2 linked regions of the Mytilus edulis genome follow. The protein of the gene in region 1 interacts with the protein of each later gene in a pairwise test. Links are inferred from orthologs where the notes say so. Each region holds a gene or a part of one and is shown in the gene's direction. Other genes may lie near its edges.

What was found.
Region 2: the proteins of disks large homolog 1-like (region 1) and ATPase family AAA domain-containing protein 3-A-like interact in a two-hybrid assay, tested with the Caenorhabditis elegans proteins (3 studies listed by BioGRID). The link is inferred for Mytilus edulis from reciprocal best matches to the Caenorhabditis elegans genes dlg-1 and atad-3.

The regions. Positions count from the first base shown.
Region 1 is NC_092346.1:79,104,488-79,114,055, forward strand, and holds the start of disks large homolog 1-like, read left to right. Parts: upstream 1-5,755; 5' UTR 5,756-5,974; coding exon 5,975-5,993; intron 5,994-8,042; coding exon 8,043-8,174; intron 8,175-8,628; coding exon 8,629-8,762; intron 8,763-9,472; coding exon 9,473-9,568. UniProt on the Caenorhabditis elegans protein: Essential multidomain scaffolding protein required for normal development. Recruits channels, receptors and signaling molecules to discrete plasma membrane domains in polarized cells. Required for proper embryonic elongation.
Region 2 is NC_092356.1:55,627,630-55,637,634, forward strand, and holds the start of ATPase family AAA domain-containing protein 3-A-like, read left to right. Parts: upstream 1-5,573; 5' UTR 5,574-5,671; coding exon 5,672-5,861; intron 5,862-6,867; coding exon 6,868-6,944; intron 6,945-9,191; coding exon 9,192-9,353; intron 9,354-9,958; coding exon 9,959-10,005. UniProt on the Caenorhabditis elegans protein: Essential for mitochondrial network organization, mitochondrial metabolism and cell growth at organism and cellular level. Important during development for the up-regulation of mitochondrial activity during the transition to higher larval stages.

The DNA.
Region 1 (9,568 bases):
TGTTTAATATGCACATAGACCAAGGTGAGCGACACAGGCTCTTTAGAGCCTCTATTTCATTTTATGAAATTCACATTTTTTTCATAACTTTTTAATTTTAACTTTTTTATATTAAGCCATGGATTAAGATAAATACAAGCCACATTAAGTTTATGTGAGAGAACGCTGAAAGGAGGACTTCATGAATGAGAACATCCTTAAAGTTGTCTGTATATTAGTTTGAGATATCCGGTGGTAATTTATTCGAATCTATGATTCATTGTTTGGCTGAATTAAGAATGACAAATTTGAAACTGTCTTTAATTGATACTTTGAACTTCATCTTGTCTGTTTATTGATGGGTAGGTCTTGTTTTAGACTGCATTTTATAAGTATATTTTTGCGGTGGTATTTGCTTCATTGTTGATAACTTTGTGAAAAATCTTTTGACCCAGTTTAGATTTTCTAGCATTTCAGATACACTTCTGGTTTTAAGCCAGTCATGATATCGTGCAGCTCTTTTTCCAATCTATATATATTTTCTGAGGTGCAGCAAAATTGTAATTTTGGTCTTACTATAGTCTGATAAGCTCTGTTTCCTTTACTAATTTAAGTTTATTTTTAGATTCCGTCTGATGAATGGTATTGATTGAGTTACCGTTTTCAGTGCTGCTGATTGTTATATGTATGTATGTATGTGTTTTTTTTTTTTTTGTTTTTTTTTTTTTTTATGTCTGCAGGAAGTGTAATGTCTAGATATTTTGCTGATTGTTCTTGTTCTAGGAAATAGCCATGCGTGTTGTAATAGAAATTGTTTTTTCTTTGTTGAGACTCTAAGGATGTTACATTTGTCCGGGTGGAATGATATGTGCCATACATTGCAGTCTTCCTCCTTTTTATGCCCCACCTCCGATAGGAGAGGGGCATTATGTTTTCTTGTCTGTGCGTCCGTCCGTCCGTCCCGCTTCAGGTTAAAGTTTTTGGTCAAGGTAGTTTTTGATGAAGCTGAAGTCCAATCAACTTGAAACTTAGTACACTTGTTGCTTATAATATGATCTTTCTAATTTTAAAGCCAAATTAGACTTTTGACCCCAATTTTACGGTCCACTGAACATAGAAAATGAAAGTGAGAGTTTCAGGTTAAAGTTTTTGGTCAAGGTAGTTTTTGATGAAGTTGAAGTCCAATCAACCTGAAACGTAGTACACATGTTCCCTATGGTATGATCTTTCTAATTTTAATACCAAATTTGATTAATTTTACCCAATTTCATGGTCTATTGAACATGGAAAATGATAGTGCGAGTGGGGCATCCGTGTACTTTGGACACGTTCTTGTTTTATTGCTGCTTTGATGTCTTCTTAAATTGAAGCTTAATGCAATCATTTTGGTAGGTTATATGCCGATAGATAATGCTGTCGTCTGCAAAGAGTCTTATTTTACTGTTACCAAGAAGGTCGTTAATATCATACTAGAACATGGAGAACTGAGAGTATTGGTGCTATTACAGTCCGCTGAGGAACTTGTCTATTCAGTAGACTCTTGCTTCGTAAATTTTTATCACATACGTTCATTTGAAAGACATGCGTATGACTTTATTCAGAGAAAGATCGAATCAAATAAAATCAAATAACTCAAATAAAATGTATACTAAGTCGGTTAATTAAAAAGCATATATAACGCTTGGGAAGTTTGCCAGTTGTCATGATTTGTGTACATTTGTTTCTATCAAGGCTAGAAAAGTTTGCCAGTTGTTATATTTGTGTACATTTGTTTCTATCAAGGCTTGAAAAGTTTATTGTTGGGTTTGCCAGTTGTTATATTTGTGTACATTTGTTTCTATCAAGGCTTGAAAAGTTTATTGTTGGGTTTGCCAGTTGTTATATTTGTGTACATTTGTTTCTACCAAGGCTTGAAAAGTTTGCCAGTTGTTATATTTGTGTACATTTGTTTCTATCAAGGCTTGAAAAGTTTGTTGTTGGTTTGCCAGTTGTTATATTTGTGTACATTTGTTTCTATCAAGGCTTGAAAAGTTTATTGTTGGGTTTGCCAGTTGTTATATTTGTGTACATTTGTTTCTATCAAAGCTTGAAAAGTTTGCCAGTTGTTATATTTGTGCACATTTGTTTCTATCAAGGCTTGAAAAGTTTATTGTTGGGTTTGCCAGTTGTTATATTTGTGTACATTTGTTTCTGTCAAGGCTTGACAAGTTTGCCAGTTGTTATATATTTGTGTACATTTGTTTCTGTCAAGGTTTGAAAAGTTTGCCAGTTGATATATTTGTGTACATTTGTTTCTATCAAGGCTTGGAAAGTTTGCCAGTTGTTATATTTGTGTACATTTGTTTCTATCAAGGCTTGGAAAGTTTGCCAGTTGTTATATTTGTGTACATTTGTTTCTATCAAGGCTTGAAAAGTTTATTGTTGGTGCATGATTGAGGATTTGTTGCATCTTATATACTTGTTTATACTCAATTGAATTATAGTATGGAGCTAAGCAATATTTATACACTTTTAACAGACGATTATATCAATTAATGGTAAAAAATATATAACAATGGAACAATATCAAAATGAAACCTTTAGCATGTAGTTTTATTAAATTGAACTACACTTGACTGTTTCGGAGATCCGAGAAAATATTCAAATATCTGAGTCACATCAAACATCTTCACATATAAATAAAACCTTTGTTGTGTACAACATGTACAAATTTTAACCAAAAGATATCTTCTTCATCTTCTTGTGCTTCTTCAATATCTTCTTCTTGCAGCATACGTGCCTGTTGTAATGCACTATCCAGTTTGTATACAGAAATCTTCAAATGGAAATAATTACAGTACATGACTGTATGTTTCATTTTGATACGTTATTCCTATTGTCTACCAGCAATCTCACGTCATTCAGAAATCAACCTTAATTTCCAAATCATCGGAAATATAACATTCGTGATGACAAGAGATACTTCTATTAAGTACACAGGTAAATAAAAGAAAAACTTTAACAGTCGTGTTTTCATGATCCTTCCTCGCTTCATACAAAATGTACTTCGGTCAACGCTTTTACACCTCTAAACATTTATGACATGCACAGCTGTAATATTCTCTGTGTGCTTCTTGGTTCAACGGTTGTCTGCTGCCAAGAATGCTGTTCTTCCATTTTCTTTTTCTGGTGGATGGAACCAGCAACTGCTTCGAATTTTTAACGGGTTTAATTTGATCAATTTGCATCCCGCTGTGTGAGTAACGTTGCCGTGTTGATTTTTTTGTACCACTTGTTCTTTCGTTATTTCTGGAACGCATGGTTTGTGCCGTTTATACAGTGGCGCCCTATCAGGAAGTTTTGTGCTGTTTCATATCCTCCGAAATCACACAGCTATGTTGTAGACCGCCCAAGTGTATATTCATTGTGGTCCAGATCCATTTATCCTTATGTCATAATTGTTTGTAATGTGACTTAGCTGGATATTAAGAATATATGTCATTTACCATTTGCATAAAAGGGTAATTAGCTGTTAAAAGTTTTAACTGATTTGACTCAAATTCTCATATTTAAATTATACATACTAAAACGTATACCCAAATAATAAAAAGTTTAAACTACACAATTGACGATGCACGGACTCGATCATATGTATCAATATTTCATGTGTATTTTAGTCTAAATGCCATCTAATCAGTAAGCATCGAGGTAATCTCAGAAGACTGCCGACGATCATATAACCCGATTTAACTTAAAATAGATAGCGAACTGAGTACTCGTGCAATTGTATTTTTTCAGGTCTGTTTGAATTAATATCGTAGGTTTAAAACATATGTTTATAATCGTTTTTACCTGTATAACAATTTTTTTTTTAATCCAATCAGTCATTTTTATATAACTTAGACCGTTGGTTTTCCCGTTTGAATGGTTTTACATTACTAATTGTTGGTGCCCTTTATAGCTTGCTTTTCGGTGTGAGCCAAGGCTCTGTGTTGAAGGCCGTACCTGGACCTATAATGGTTTACATTTATAAATTGTTATTTGGATGGAGAGTTGTCTCATTGGCACTCATACCACATATTTATAATAGTCAGTCAGTGAATAATTAAAAAAAAATAAAAATTGAATGGATGATTCCTAGCCATGAAAATTTGTCCTGCTCATGTAACTGTGATGATTCCAACAATGATGCAGATAACAATGTATCACAATTTTCAGTACTCTAACATTTCATGAATTGTTTCTAGAACAGTGAATAACGCCAAACCTCTCCCATTCCACCAATATTTATGTTTTTGTTCACAGTGATAAACAGTTACATATTTTTAATCAACTTTCTTTGCTCAAGATTAAAAAAAAAAGCAATATTATCTGGGGGTTACTTTTTCGAGAAACTCCACATCTCATTACCATATAATACACCTAATCGCTATTTATTCCATTCCGGATAAGTTCTAAAATTACACAACTTTTTCATCCAGTTGAAGCTATCTTGGACCCTGTTTAAACAATTCACCATGCATGATACTTTTTAATGAGACCTGTTTAAACTACCGTAAATACTTCAAACAAAATATTTTTTTTACTTCAATTTTAATTTCGAAAAAAGTGGATCATACTATATCAAAGTTTCTTGATGATCACTTTCTAATTTTTTTTCTCCCTCAGCTCACTACTGGTGACCTCCATTTTTTGGCCGGTGACCCAAACAGGAAGTTGTATAAATGACTGTTTTTCCCGGAATGGACTAAATAGCGATCAGGTGTATAGAATTGGCTTCTCTGCTAAGGCAGCAAGCATTTGATTTTCTGGGGGGGGGGGGGGGGGGGGCTATGTTTTTTTTTGGAAAAAAAAGTTTGTTTCCATTTTTTGGAGAAAAAAAATCATTTGTTTTTGATTCTGAGAAAAAAAAAATGTTTGTTTCACCCTCAGCTGCCACTATATGTAATGCTAAAATTGAAAGAAAAAAGATGTTTTCGACTTGTCGCGAAAAAAATCACAGGTGCTTGAGGACAGGATCCTGTATGAGCCCCAAATAGTCCCTCCCCCTTTTTTAAAATTTTTTTTTTTTAATCATAAATCTCAGATTTTTCTATATATATCCCTTATTTGTACCATATATATACTAATATACCATATTTATACTCTAAATATGCATGTTTACTATCAATAGTATAAATATGGTATATTAGTATATATATGGTACAAATAAGGGATATATATAGACAAATCTGAGATTTATGATTAAAAAAAAAATTTAAAAAAAGGGGGAGGGACTATTTGGGGCTCATACAGGATCCTGTCCTCAAGCACCTGTGAAAAAAATAGATTGTTTTTCGCAGCAGGCAAAAAAAAAATTGTCCCCCCCCCCCCCCCCCCCCGAAAATCAAATGGTTGCTGCCTTATCAAAAATACGAAAACATGTTTTTATCTAATATAAAACATATTTATCGTTTAAGATCAACTGACTCTTATGCTCAGAATTCATTTGTTGTCATGTTTAAAAGAAGTCGTGTTGGTATTTGGGTGAGTCTAAACGCGGACCTCTAAGAGGACACCTCCATGTTTCGTTCTTTCGGAATTTCGGATTTGAGCCTCAGGAGGAATCAATTTTTTAAGATTATTATATTGGTTAAGCTCACCGTTCATTGTAAACACTACAAAAAAAATCCATTTTGAAACAAACATTTTGAATTTTCACAAAATATAAAAACATTTGGAAATTATAAATAGAAAATAAGTATAACAATCCTGAAATAGCGGATCCCTTTAATCACGTGATTTATTAGTTTTGAATAGCCGCCATCTTTGCTGTTTCCTGTTTGTGGTCGTTTCCTGATTATCGTGAAGTGTCGCCAAACAATAATCCTGCATAAAATTAAGAGATAAAAATCACTGCAACAAATGTGTTTGCCATAAATTAATCACATCCTAGCGATTGCTTAAATAATAATAGACAGAATCTTGCAAACCACGAAGTGGGTGTGAGCACAAGAACACCAGCTTTTCGCAAGACATGCCGGTCAGAAAACAAGGTGCATTGCATTCCTGTTTATCATGAATATGTATATAATCAGTGTATAAAAGGCACATTGTTATAACCACGTTATATATTACAATAGTCACTATTGTAATATATCTGGGATATCTGGTCAACAAATTATTGCTTATTATCTTTTCAATCACATAGACCTTATGTCAAAAAAGAACAACTGTAGGTTGAAATTCATAAATAAAACAGTCTTAATGTGCAGTAAATATATGGTATTGTGTCCGTTAGCCCTGATAGGATGCTTGCCCAGGGACTGTTCACCCTGAGTCTATTTCCCCATAGAGTCTGTACGCCCTGGATATTAAACTTCTCCATTCTTTTATTGAAAAATATTTGTATGAGGGTGTCAAAGTTGAATATACTTATTCAGATATTTATATGGTATATAAATTCTAGTATAAATGAAAACACATGAAAATATTTAAAATTAATGGCGTGTTTGTGAGAATTGTAATTGTTCTTAATACTATATCTCTCACTGCTTGTCATAATAATTAATTGTCTTTGATGGATGAATAATAAAAACAACATTTTGTTTTGATAATTTAGTCAGCTTGAAATTTGAAATGAGTAAAAACAATTGTGTAGGAATTGTAAAACATAAGTTCATTCATTATAATATAATATAAATTGACTGACTAGAATTATTAAAATTGTAAAAGATATCAATATTAAAAGATAAATACATTGTATTCCAAAATTCTACTATGCAGACTAAAGGAAAATATTTGGTTGCAGCAATACAAATATTTTAGCAAATTTTTCCACATAAAGTAACATACTTTGTTCATGTTCAAATATTATATGAACATGATAGTGCAACTAGACAACAATATAAAAAACAAAAATCTGGGCAAACAGGTATAAGTGCAAACTAACCCTGGTTCTAAAATTACAACAACAAAAAACAGTCTTCACGCTGAACTGCTAAATTTACAGGCCCGCAGCTTAATTTTTGAAATTTTTTAGTTAGTTTCTGTTGGTCTGTAGGTCTGATTTTTTCAGGCCTGAGAGAAATTTTACCAGTTTTACCAGCCTGAGCTGCCACTCGGCGTGAAGACTGCAAAGGCTTTTGCTTTACTATAAAAGTTAACATGCATCTTCTTGATGAATTAACTCAAATAATTCATTTGCTCCCCATGAAAGATTTTCTCTACTGTGAGAACCTGAATTCCTTTTATGATTAAAACATGTTCTCATCAATGTTCTCTGTGTGAGAGAGTCAATCAGCAGAAATACAATGTTATTGAGGTAGATAAAAAAAAACAAAAAAAAGAAACATTTAAATTGAGTTATAAATCTAGTGAAAACAAGACCTACGTGTATAATTGTTAATTTCTGTGTCATTTGATCTCTTGTGGAGAGTTGTTTCATTGGCAATATTAGTGAATCATACCATATCTTCTTTTTTATATGCACAAACTGGCCAAACCATCGCCTCGATTAAAAAAAATTGTACCATTAATAATATATATGAGAAATTAAAAAGTATATTGTCTGTGAGAAACTGTTCTCAAACTCTCTCCCACTTGCAAAATAAAATATCCCATTGTAACTTGGCCCATCTGCGTTCTTGATATGTTCTAGCTATAGTCTTTTAAATTTATACACACCACTTAAAAAATGCTTAAGTAACGGCTCGTGTAGTAAATTTAAATCTTATACTATTTTAGTGTTTTAACTTATTTTCAAATTCAACATTTTATAACTAAAATGAAACAAATTCAGGAAATATGCCTGACTTTTTTTCTGAAATTGAATAGTCCTTATCTGATTTATGAAAAATTTACATGCACATGCAAATTTCTCAAAATATCTAATTTTTTTGTTACTTCATGTAAGTGCTAGTGATTACATACATGTATTCAGTGAAAGCTTCATCTTTTGGTTTACGCTTTCCTGGATACATGTACCTGAGGCTGATTGTTTATGTCTTTGAAAATGAAGAGGTTACTGCGAACAGGTGAATGTTGCTTTCGAACAAGATGTTTAATACAATTTTGCATTTTTCTTTTTTCTCTTCTTTTCATAGATGCCCACAGGGCTTTAGAATTGTTAGAGGACTACCATTCCAGGCTTAGTCTTCCACAAGACACCCAGCTCAAGGTTGCTATAGAGAAAGTCATAAGAATTTTCAAAAGTCGCCTATTTCAGGCACTTCTTGGTATGTAAAATTAATATTTAAGGTGGAAGTTCTTCTTTTATTTAAGACAGAGTGATTGGCTCAATTTTTGGAATACAACATTTTTACATAAGGTACATGCACATGATCCACATTAACTTAGTTTGCATGATACGCAATGATTAAGGCCTTTATTATTATCTACATGTATATAAAAACTGAATATTATTGCATTTCAATAACAAGTGATTTGCACAAAGTTACTGATTTAGTATTAGTTATAATTACTGCATTACAAATTTATAATAATGGTTTTATACTTTGCTTAACAAAGCAAGGACTGTAGTACTGAATTTGGCATGTACAGAGGCTAAAATTATGTTCATGGTTTTAACCTATTTAAATGTTACATAATGTACTATCACATTAGAATAAAAAAAAAATGTATCTGGTATAAATGGAGCTAATTGAAAATGATACTAACTTCTGTTTTCAGACATACAAGAGTTTTATGAGTATACATTGTTAGATGACTCAAAATCTATACAACAGAAGACATTGGAGACCTTACAGATAGCTAACAAGTGGGAGAGAGAACCACCTATCACCAATGCTCTTCCTAAACTTGAGGTTGTTATTGTACCTAGAAATGTTAATTCATGATTTTGCAGAAAGCTCAAATATTAATATTATAATCTCAATATGTTACCCATTTAAGATGATATGAATAAGAAGATATTGTACGAGTGTTAATGAGACAACCTTCAATCCAAGTCACTATGTATAAAAAGTTCACAATAATAGGTCTAAGTACAGCCTTAAACATGCCAGAGGCTTGGCAAAATTGAGACAAAATTCTATCTTATTTGTTTTACATAATTTATAGAAGTTGATTCAAATTAGCAAAGCTGTCTTATTAAGTGAAGGGCATATGCATAGCTACACAGATCAAATTGTCAAGTGTGTTTTACAGTTGCATTTCAAATAAAATTTGTATATGACAGCAAAATTTTTGCATAAGTACATGCATTTGTTGTCAGCAATATTGTCAAAAGACTTTTTGTTTCCTGACAATATCTTGAATATAAGTGTATAGATTCACACCACAAAAGTAAGGTTGTGATTGATTTTGGTGATCATTAAAATTTCAAGCAGGATAGTCGAACTCAGAAATCAACCAATCAAAATACAGAAATTTGTTGTTTCAAGCAAATATTTTGTACTCCTGAGTACTGTGTAAAGTAAAATAACAATAAGCCCTAGAGATCAATCTACAATTCATTTTATACCAATAAATATCTGACTTTCAGAAGTTTTATTTTGCAAATTTATGCTTCTAGAAAACTGTGTCACCTCCTGATGAAGAGTTACCTCCCCCTCCACCAGAGTTACAAAATAGACAGGTTGAACCAAAGACATTAGCTTCTGTATCCCCT
Region 2 (10,005 bases), on another chromosome or scaffold:
ACAAGATTAACAAAGGCCAGAGGCTCCTGACTTGGGACAGGCACAAAAATGCGGCGGGGTTAATTAAACATGTTTATGAGATATCAACAATGTTCTTTATTTTATAAGTCTTATTCCACTGGCCGTGAAAAACTTAATTATGGAGCAGGATGCTTGGTTTTCTTATTTCAAAAATTTAAATGAAAAAGACACTAATGCATCCTGTGATCATTTAAAAGATAAGCTAAAAGACATGGAAAGAGAAAAAATATTTACTGAACTTGATAATTTGATTTCAAAAGCAGAAATAGAAAAGGCGATTAGTACACTTAAAAATAAAAAAGCAAGTGGTTTCGACTCAATTTTAAATGAAATGTTAAAGTCCAGTCAAACATGAGTCTTGTTTTCAAAAATTGTTTAATAGTATCTTAAACTCAGGATATTTTCTCAAAATTTGGACAAAAGGATATATTAATAGTTCCTTTATTTAAAAGTGGTTCAAAAGATGATCCTTCAAAGACCCTCTTCAAATTGTAGAGGAATTACCATTGGAAATTGTTTAGGCAAGTTATGTGTGGAAATTTTAAATATTCGTTTAGAGAAGGTTTTGGCAAGTAGAAATATTATTAAACCGGAACAAATTGGTTTCTGTAAAGGCAAGCGCACCAGTGATCATCATTTAGTTTTGAGAACTCTTATAAAAAAGTATACTCAACAAGGCAATAAAAAATTCTTTACATGCTTTGTTGACCTACGAAGAGCCTTTGATACTGTTAATCATGATGGACTTTTTTTATAAACTGAGAAATATTGGAGTCAGTGATTTATTTTATAACACTCAGATATGTATAATAATATTGAGCTAGTGTAAAGGTAGACAAATATTCTATGACTGAAAACTTTACATCTAACATAGGAGTCAAACAAGGGGATAATTTAAGCCCCACTTTATTTAAAATTTTTATAAATGATATTCTTGACTCTTATGATGAGACCTGTAAACCTGCTTACAGCTTAATTGCTTATTGTATGCAGATGACTTAGTAGTGATGTCAGAAACAGCTGATGGTCTACAGAGGTGTATTGATACACTATATAATTACTGTGATAAATGGGGACTCCAAATAAATATAAAGAAAACTAAATCAGTAGTATTTATTAAAACAGGAAAACTAGATGAACAAATATTTAATATTAATAATATACCTATTGAAAGGGCTAGGGGCTATAAATATTTAGGAATTTATGTGAGTGCAAGTGGAAGCTTTACAGAGGCTAAAGATGATTTATAGAAAAGGGGATTGAAAGCTTTATTTAAATATTAAAACAGTTTTAACTTATATAAACCTAAAATTAACACACTTTCACATATATTTGATCATACTGTGAAACCTGTGTTGTTATATGGGAGTGAAATATGGGGATCTTCAGTAATAAATAAACTATATTAAAATGAACATGATCTTTTTAAAATATGCAAGGACATGAAACAAGAAAGTATTCATGTCAAATTCTGTAAATTTTCTTTGGGTTTAGGTAAAAAATCTACAAATATAGCTGTATTGGGTGAAATGAGAAGATATCCCTTATTTCTTTAAGTAATTTTCAATATGTTTAGATATTATAAAAATATATTAAAGTCTGATCAGGCGCGGATCCAGAGGGGGGGGGGGGTTCTGGGGGTTGGAACCCCCCCTTTTTGGACGATCAATGCATTTGAATGGGGGCATGTAGTTGGAACCCCCCTCCTTTGTCCTGGGTTAGGAACCCCCCTTTTTAAAATGGCTGGATCCGTCCCTGCTGATTATATCCTTCTCTCTGAAGCCCTGAATGTCTCTAGATCACTAAATAGTTTAAACAAAAATAGTTGGTATAGTTGTATTGCTGTTCTTATGAAATATCTTGATATAGATCTTAAACTTGTTAAAAATTCAAAGAAGGATTTAAAATCCCTAATTTACCAGAAATTAAAACAGAAATATTCTTGTATTTGGAAATCTGAACTTTACAATGATAGACAAAATAAACAGCATGGAAATAGACTAAGAACTTACAGATTATTTAAAGAAAATATTTATATGGAAAAATACTTATTAATTTTAAATGAGGATGAAAGGCGACTGCTCACTAAGTTCAGAGTCAGTGCACATAAATTAGAAATTGAAAGAGGCAGATATGTGGGGCTTCGAGTGGAGGATAGAATATGTAAATTATGTAACACTGAAGTTGAAGATGAAATTCATTTTCTTCTTCAGTGTCCTGTTTTAGAAAATAAAAGATCTGAATATATAGATTACTTAAATAAGGTTAACAAAAACTTTAAAAGACTCCCAAATAAATCAAAATTAATATGGTTTATGCAAGGATTTGTACAAATCCTTAGTTTATGTCATCTGAAGATAATGTTATAATTAAAAAAGTAAGTTTATTATTGTGTACTTTATTCAAAGAGAGAAAATCAATTATAGATACAGTTTAGTCACCGGTAGTTTGTCCATCTATATTATATTGTAAAACTATATATATTTCTGCAGAAATTATTTGGTTGAAAATACTTGACTTTGTTTAATTGTTAAATAATCAATGTAATCAATATGTAATCACTTGTATGAAATTGAACTTAATTGTACTGCTCAAATTATTGGGCGTCATAATTGACAATAAAAAACTTTGTATTGTATTGTATATGTTACAGTAAATAGGTGAAATTAGGAATTACATGTAATTACTAAAATTTAGGAATTACATGTAATCCCCGATGTACTTAGTAAATACAAGTAATTCCTGAAACGGCCCAGTTATTACCAGTAATTACTAATTTTAAAATGAATTTTTACACCTATTTACTAACTGTTAAAACAATGTTGTAATATGGTAAGCTGATCAAAAGTTATGGGAATTCTAGCTATAGAATATTCACTCTGTGGTTAAAGTTTTTGAAATTTTAATACCTTTCTTAAACTATACTGGATTTCTACGAAACTTGGACAGAAGCTTGTTTATGATCATAAGAAAGTATCCAGAAGTAAATTTTGTAAAAATAAAATTCCATTTTTTCCGTATTTTACTTATAAAGGGACTTAGTTATTCTGCGAGGAAACATTACATTCACTCTGTGGTTAAAGTTTTTAAAATTTTAATAACTTTCATATAAACTATCCATGATTTGTACCAAACTTGGACAGAAGCTTGTTTATGATCATAAGATAGTATCAAGAAGATAATTTTGTAAAAATAAATTTCCACTTTTCCGTATTTTACTTATAAATGGACTTAGTTTTTTTGCCAGAAACAAAACATTCATTCTGTGGTTTAAGTTTTTAAAATTTTTATAATGTTCTTAAACTATCCTGGATTTCTACCAAACTTGGACAAAAGCTTGTTTGTGATCATAAGATATTATTCAGAAGTAAATTTTGTAAAATAAAATCCACTTTTTCCGTATTTTACTTATAAATGGACTTAGGTTTTCTTCCAGTTAACATTACATACCGTCTGCAGTTAAAGTTTATAAAACATTTATTAGATTCATAAACTATCCTGGATTTTTACCAAATTTGGAAGCTCTTTCAATAAAAAAAACAGTATCGAGAGGGAAATTTTTGTTGTTGTTTTTCCTCATTTTTGTTGAGTCTGCAATTAACAGCAAACTGAGTAGGCGAGACACTGGGTTCCGCGGAACCCTTACGAATTTTTTTGTTTGTTAAATCATTAATGAAAATTATATAGGGAAATTATAATTCACTTTTAGCAGTCAATCTGGTTCTATTTTACTAAAATAAGCAGAGAAACATGGTTGATGATTTTTGCACTTGCAAGTGAATAATTGGACCTCATGTGAACTTCAATTCAACACCTAGCTGAAGATAGGTTACCGATGTATTCAGATTTAAAATTGTAAGGGTTTCGCAGAACCCAGTATCTCGCCTACTTTAGCTGTTAGTCGCAGGCTCAACAAAAATGGGGGGAAAATATCAAATATTTTGACTAGTGCTGTAAGAAGCTTCTGTCTTAATTTGGTTAAAATCCAGGATGGTTTATGAAATCTAATAAATGTTTAAAAAAACTTTAATCGCAGACTGTATGTAATGTTAAGTGGGGGAAAAAAGTCCATTTATAAGGAATATACCAAAAGGGATTTTTTACTTTGTATATTATCTTATGATCATAAACAAGCTTCTGTCCAAGTTTGGATATTCTGAGAAAGTTATAAAAAAATTTAAAACTTTAACCACAATGTGAATGTAATGTTAACTGGCATATATAAGTCCATTTATAAGTAAAATACGGAAAAACTTAATGTTATTTTCACAAAATTTACTTCTTGAAAATTATCTCATAATTACAGTCAAGCTTCTGTTCACGTTTGGTAGAAATCCAGGATAATTTAAGAAAGTTATCAAAATTTGAAGACCTTTAACCACATAGTGAATACTTGTGAATGTTACTGACGACAGAATAGTTTGCTGTGTCTCGCTTTTGCGACAATGGTCGCAGGCTCGACAAAAAGAAACATAATCATAATGACAACATTGAAAGAAAATCAAAAGGAATGGCTTATTCAATCCACAACAGATTTTTCTTATACAGATAAAAACGGTAATAAAATTTTGTTGCAGGTATATAAGCTGGAGTTTTGAGTTCTTGAAAAACTCATAAAAAAGAGAAACACAAAAATATGAAATGTGACCCTTAACACCATCAAATTGTATAAATTTGTTTGTGAAGAATGTCAGCTTTATCACGACAGTCTGACAAAAGAAGTCGTAAATAAAACTATTTTATAAAAGGAATTTGACTTATGTCATTGGGCAAGTTTATATGCAACAACAACAACAAACAACAAATATTTTATTTGCCAATCACGGCGCCCAAAATGAGCAGAACAATTACAATGTTATTTTCAAACATAATGTAAAGTAAATTAAAAATAGGTTAAAAGGACATAATATGATTGATTTTGATTTAATTGATCAATATAAAATATTAAAGCAAATGAAGTAAGCAGAGTATGCCTGATGAAGATTGCAATATAAAGAAATTATGAGATTTTAAGAATTATTCAACCAAAATTGGCATTATCAAATGTTTATCATCAAAAAGAGCTGGCAAAGTTGACTATAAACTTCTCACAAATGTATATCTCAATTTTGGATTGATATCATTGTCTTGCATGCTGCAAATGATATTAAGGGAGTTTCAATACTTTTAAAACAACCATTTTTCAGTTTCAATTCACAACCACTAAAGGTGTGCCTTATATTCATTAATCCTTAATTAAGTCAGCCCTTAAATACCTACCCTTTTACTTTCTTATTTTGTATCTTGGATTATATCTTTAATTTTAAAACAAAAATATCAAGTTAGTAAATAGCTGTAAAAATGACAAAAAAAATCAGTGAATACCAGTAATCACTGAAACAACTAGTAAATACATGTAATTACTAAATTGGCTAGTAATTACAGGTATTTACTGAAATGTTTAGTAATTACGTGTGATTCCTAATTTCACCTATTTACTGTAACATATACACGTCAAAACCCGGAAACACAACATAACTGTCCGAACTTGATCCTACCCAATAAAAGAACCGGATGTAGTGATTGCGCAAGATCGACAATTTACTACACGTGAGTTTGCAGAAGCTTTTTCTGTATTCCAGTCCAAGAAGGTTTTGGACCTGAATTAAACATGTCGTGGCTGTTTGGTACAAATAAGGGACAGAATATTCAACCACCACAAATCCCCTACCCGCCCGCACCACCAGATGGCGATGACAAGGGAGGAAAAGATGGATCTCAGTCGAAAATGGATGCATACCGATTTGACTCTGCAGCCCTGGAAAGAGCAGCAAAAGCAGCTAAGGAATTGGAAGCTACAAGTAAGAACACGTTAAGTGTCATCCCTAACACTTGTATGACATATTGGTTTGATAAATAATGAATGCAACCATTACAAATTGCTGATGAAACAATGTCCTTGAAATCGAAGGTTACATAAAATCTCATTAGCCAATAGGCCATTTTATCTTACTATACTCTATAGTGTAAATGTTCCCAGTCTGATCATGTCAATTTTTAAATCTGTACTTGAAGTGGTGCATGTCATAATTATGTTGCTGTAGAGTACTCACCAGGCAATGATTATGCAGTGGTGGGTCCAGAATTTTTTATGAGTGGTCAATGAACTAACTTAACCCTCTTGTTGCAGACCGTTTTTCAAGGTTGCATTTCATGTGCCAGGAAATATGACAGCTCAACGTCTGTGACGTAACATGCCAAACAACTTCATTCGGTATATGACATCACAACATAATGGCTGTTACATTTGGGACCCATTGAACAAAAACAAAGCACAGTTTGATCTTGGATCTTATAATTGAAAGAGACGATGTGCTTGCATAAATTTAACTTTGGACATTTGTGTCACTCCTGCACAGCCGGAGTATACTCCTGAGTATAATCCCTCTGGCAGCAAGAGGGTTAAAAGGGAGGGGCGCTCCAATCATGTTAAAAGTGGTTCTCTATAATTGTCTTAACTTTTCACCAGAAAAGTCATGCCTTACTGAGATGTCATTATGCTGAGAAGCCATTTTCTTTAGGTTTGGATTTTGAGAGGGAATTTTCATTCAACTTTGAAACCAAATTTAACCGTAAAAATTTTTATTGACGGCAAACAAAAATTGCCTATACATCATGTACGTAAAATCATACTTTTATGCATTTATTAGTGCATTAAATTTTCAATAACTTCCCAAAGTAATGATAAATTAATTCTTGTAATCATGGTAATCATGGTATTGTATATTTGGGTGTACTGTGAATATTTAATAAACATGATACAAAAATCTATATGACAGTTTCTATGATATGATATTTTTTCTTCAGAACACTCCAAAGAAGCATTGGAATTATCTAAAATGCAAGAGACAACTTTACAACTTGAAAATCAAAAGAAGCTTAAGGTATTGTGGAATTTTGTCTATTGTCTAATACATGAGATTTATCATGTTTATGTGTTCTTAGATATAAGAAGATGTGGTATGAGTGCCAATGAGATCTCCCCATAAGTCATAATTTGTAAAAGTAAACCATTATAGGTCAATGTACAGACTTAAACACAGAGCCTTGGCTTACACCTAAAAGCAAGCTATAAAGGGCCACAAAAATGACTAGTGTAAAACCATTCAAACAAGAAAATCAACATTCTAATCTGTATAAAAAAAAAAGTAACAAGAAACATTTACGAACCTCATTAACAAACGACAACCACTGAAAATCAACTGTACATTTGATGAGCTGGTTAGTGGTAACAGTTTTTGTAAGACACAGGAAAATCATAAAATAAGTTTTTAAAAACAGTATAAAACATTCAAAACTTTGCTAATGATATATATATATTACATGTAGTGTGTCACAAAACATGAAATATTCAATTGAAAAATTAAAAATCTGTTAAAAGTTTCTTTTAAACATACATTATGTACATGTAACATGTCATGTGTACATGGTGTATGGATACTGTTAATTTAATATCCATGATGTCATGCTAAAATTGAAATGCTGGATTAACTACAAATTTTCATTAAAATCTTCTAATATGGTTATGCTTTGCACAACAATGCATATACATCCTTGCTTTTGAGAGGAAATCTTGGTGCTTAGTGTTGCCTCGTCCAACTCACAGTTTTTATGCAGTTCAATAAGTTTCTGTTAGATAGCATTCAAAATATTTCCATTTATATGATTATCATGTATAAATATTTTATAAGATATTGCCTGCCAAGCCAATCCTGTTCTAAACTACCATCAGGGTTTCCCTTGGGTCAATTATTTTTTTCGCCACGTCTTTCGCCAAAACAATATATTTTTCCCCACTTTATTATTTTTTTCGCCAAGTAACATAACTATATTTTTCGTTTAAAATTTTCCTTTTTTTCTTATCCCCTCCCCCCTTTTGCCTTAAATAAGTTGATTTTGTCCCATTGTGTCTATGATTATTCTGTCAAACTTATTTTAGAGTCTACATTTAATGAATAAACACTAAACATTTACTTTAAAACAACAGATTTTGTTTTTAACATAAAAGGGAAAAATATTTATTGTATTTTAAACAACTTTTAACCTGAGATCACCCTTAGTTTTTTGTGGAGTTCGTGTTGTTTATTCTTTAGTTTTCTATGTTGTGTCATGTGTACTATTGTTTTTCTGGGGTTTTTTTTCATTTTTAGCCATGGCATTGTCAGTTTGTTTTAGATTTATGAGTTTGACTGTCCCTTTGGTATCTTTCGTCCCTCTTTCTAAATGAGGGGGCCACTATACTTTTAATAATAAAGAAGATATAAGTCCTGGAATACAACAAAATTAATGGACATGTTTTGATTATATAATACCAGTATAGTTCGTAGGGAAAGTTTCTTTAAAAGAAAAATATTGATGTGCCCTTTTGTACTAAGAAGTGGTTTTTACAACAAAACAAAAGCTTTTATCACATGATATTTTGATCCCTCATTTCATGTGTAGTCATAACATTGAAGGGCTACTCTCATTCGAGGGGTTGTTCCCAACCTTTTGGATAGATTTCTTCATAACAACAGTTTTCTCTTCTTGACCATCGTAAATGAAAAGGTTGAGACGTAAAACTATGCTTGAAACACACGTGTCACTCAAACGACTTTAAAGTACTCTCCCTAATCAATTACCTATGTTAAAGTCAAAGGATAGTTAAAGTTTTAAATCGGAGATTTTTCTTGCTTTTGAAAATTTTTCGTCACAACAACAGCTTTCTTTTCTAAACTATCTTTAAAAGGAGAGGAGACGTCAAAAGTTTGCTTCAAACACGTGCGTCGCAAAGTGGTAAATAAATTCTGTATTTGACATTAGCGGAAGACATTTAACCATATCATTTTGTCAAACAATTCAATCAACACCTTTATTAATTAGTCCTTTGTTGTCGATAGCTATCAAATGCAATCAAATGCAATCAGCTGATTATTGATTTTCTGTCCAAATCGTAATAAGGTCAAGGTGAATTCCGAGTATTGTCTGATCGGGTAAAGTCAGAGCAAATTGCGAAAATGACGACCGCCAGCGGAAACCCTGACTACCATAGTACTGCCTCAAAACACCTATATATAGTTTTAACTTTTAAAAACTTGATTCATTTTTGTGTATTTTCCATTTGTTATTTTTGAATTGACTCTTATATTTAGGAAATGGAAGGCCAAATAGAACAGCTGAAAATAGAGCAAGCAAGAGTTGCACAAGAGGAAAGAAGAAAGACATTAGTTGAAGAAACAAAACAACATCAGCAGAGAGCTCAATTCCAGGATCAGTTGGCACGGAAACGCTATGATGATCAGTTATCACAACAAGTAAGGAAACTCGTGAAAACCTGAGTATGTTCTCCCTACCTTTGTAGCATTCACTGTCAGATCTACTTTTCAATGATTTCTTAACATAGTAATTGATATTTTATTCTGATATGAACATTCTATCAAGCATACCTGTGTTTTAACATAATAATGTATAAATTGAAATTAAAAAGCCCGACCTGGCATAACAAAGAAAATTCAGTGCTAAGGTTTTTGGTCATTTATTAAATGTTTAACTGTTTCTGCAGTAAAAACAAAACAAAAATTTATAAGAATAAGGTTATATACCATTATATTTTCTCAACATTTTAGCAGAAACACAGATTTTGTTTTTCTTTAATGCTTTCAAGCTTTCTATTTTACATTCCGTATCTGCAATGCAAGACTATGGTTAATACAAGAAAATGGGATATTTAAGTGAAATAACAAAAACGTACTTTGAATAGAAGAATGTTAAAAAAAAAATCAGGAAACAGATCACAACTCTATGATCATGATGATAATTGATTAATAAATACACATAAGGTAATCCTGTACTAATGTATCAGTTTAAGCTTGTTGTTTGATAATGAAAGGTAGTTTGATGAATTCAATTTGTATTTCAGGCAAAACTTAACGAAGAAAATCTCAGAAAACAAGAAGAATCTACTGC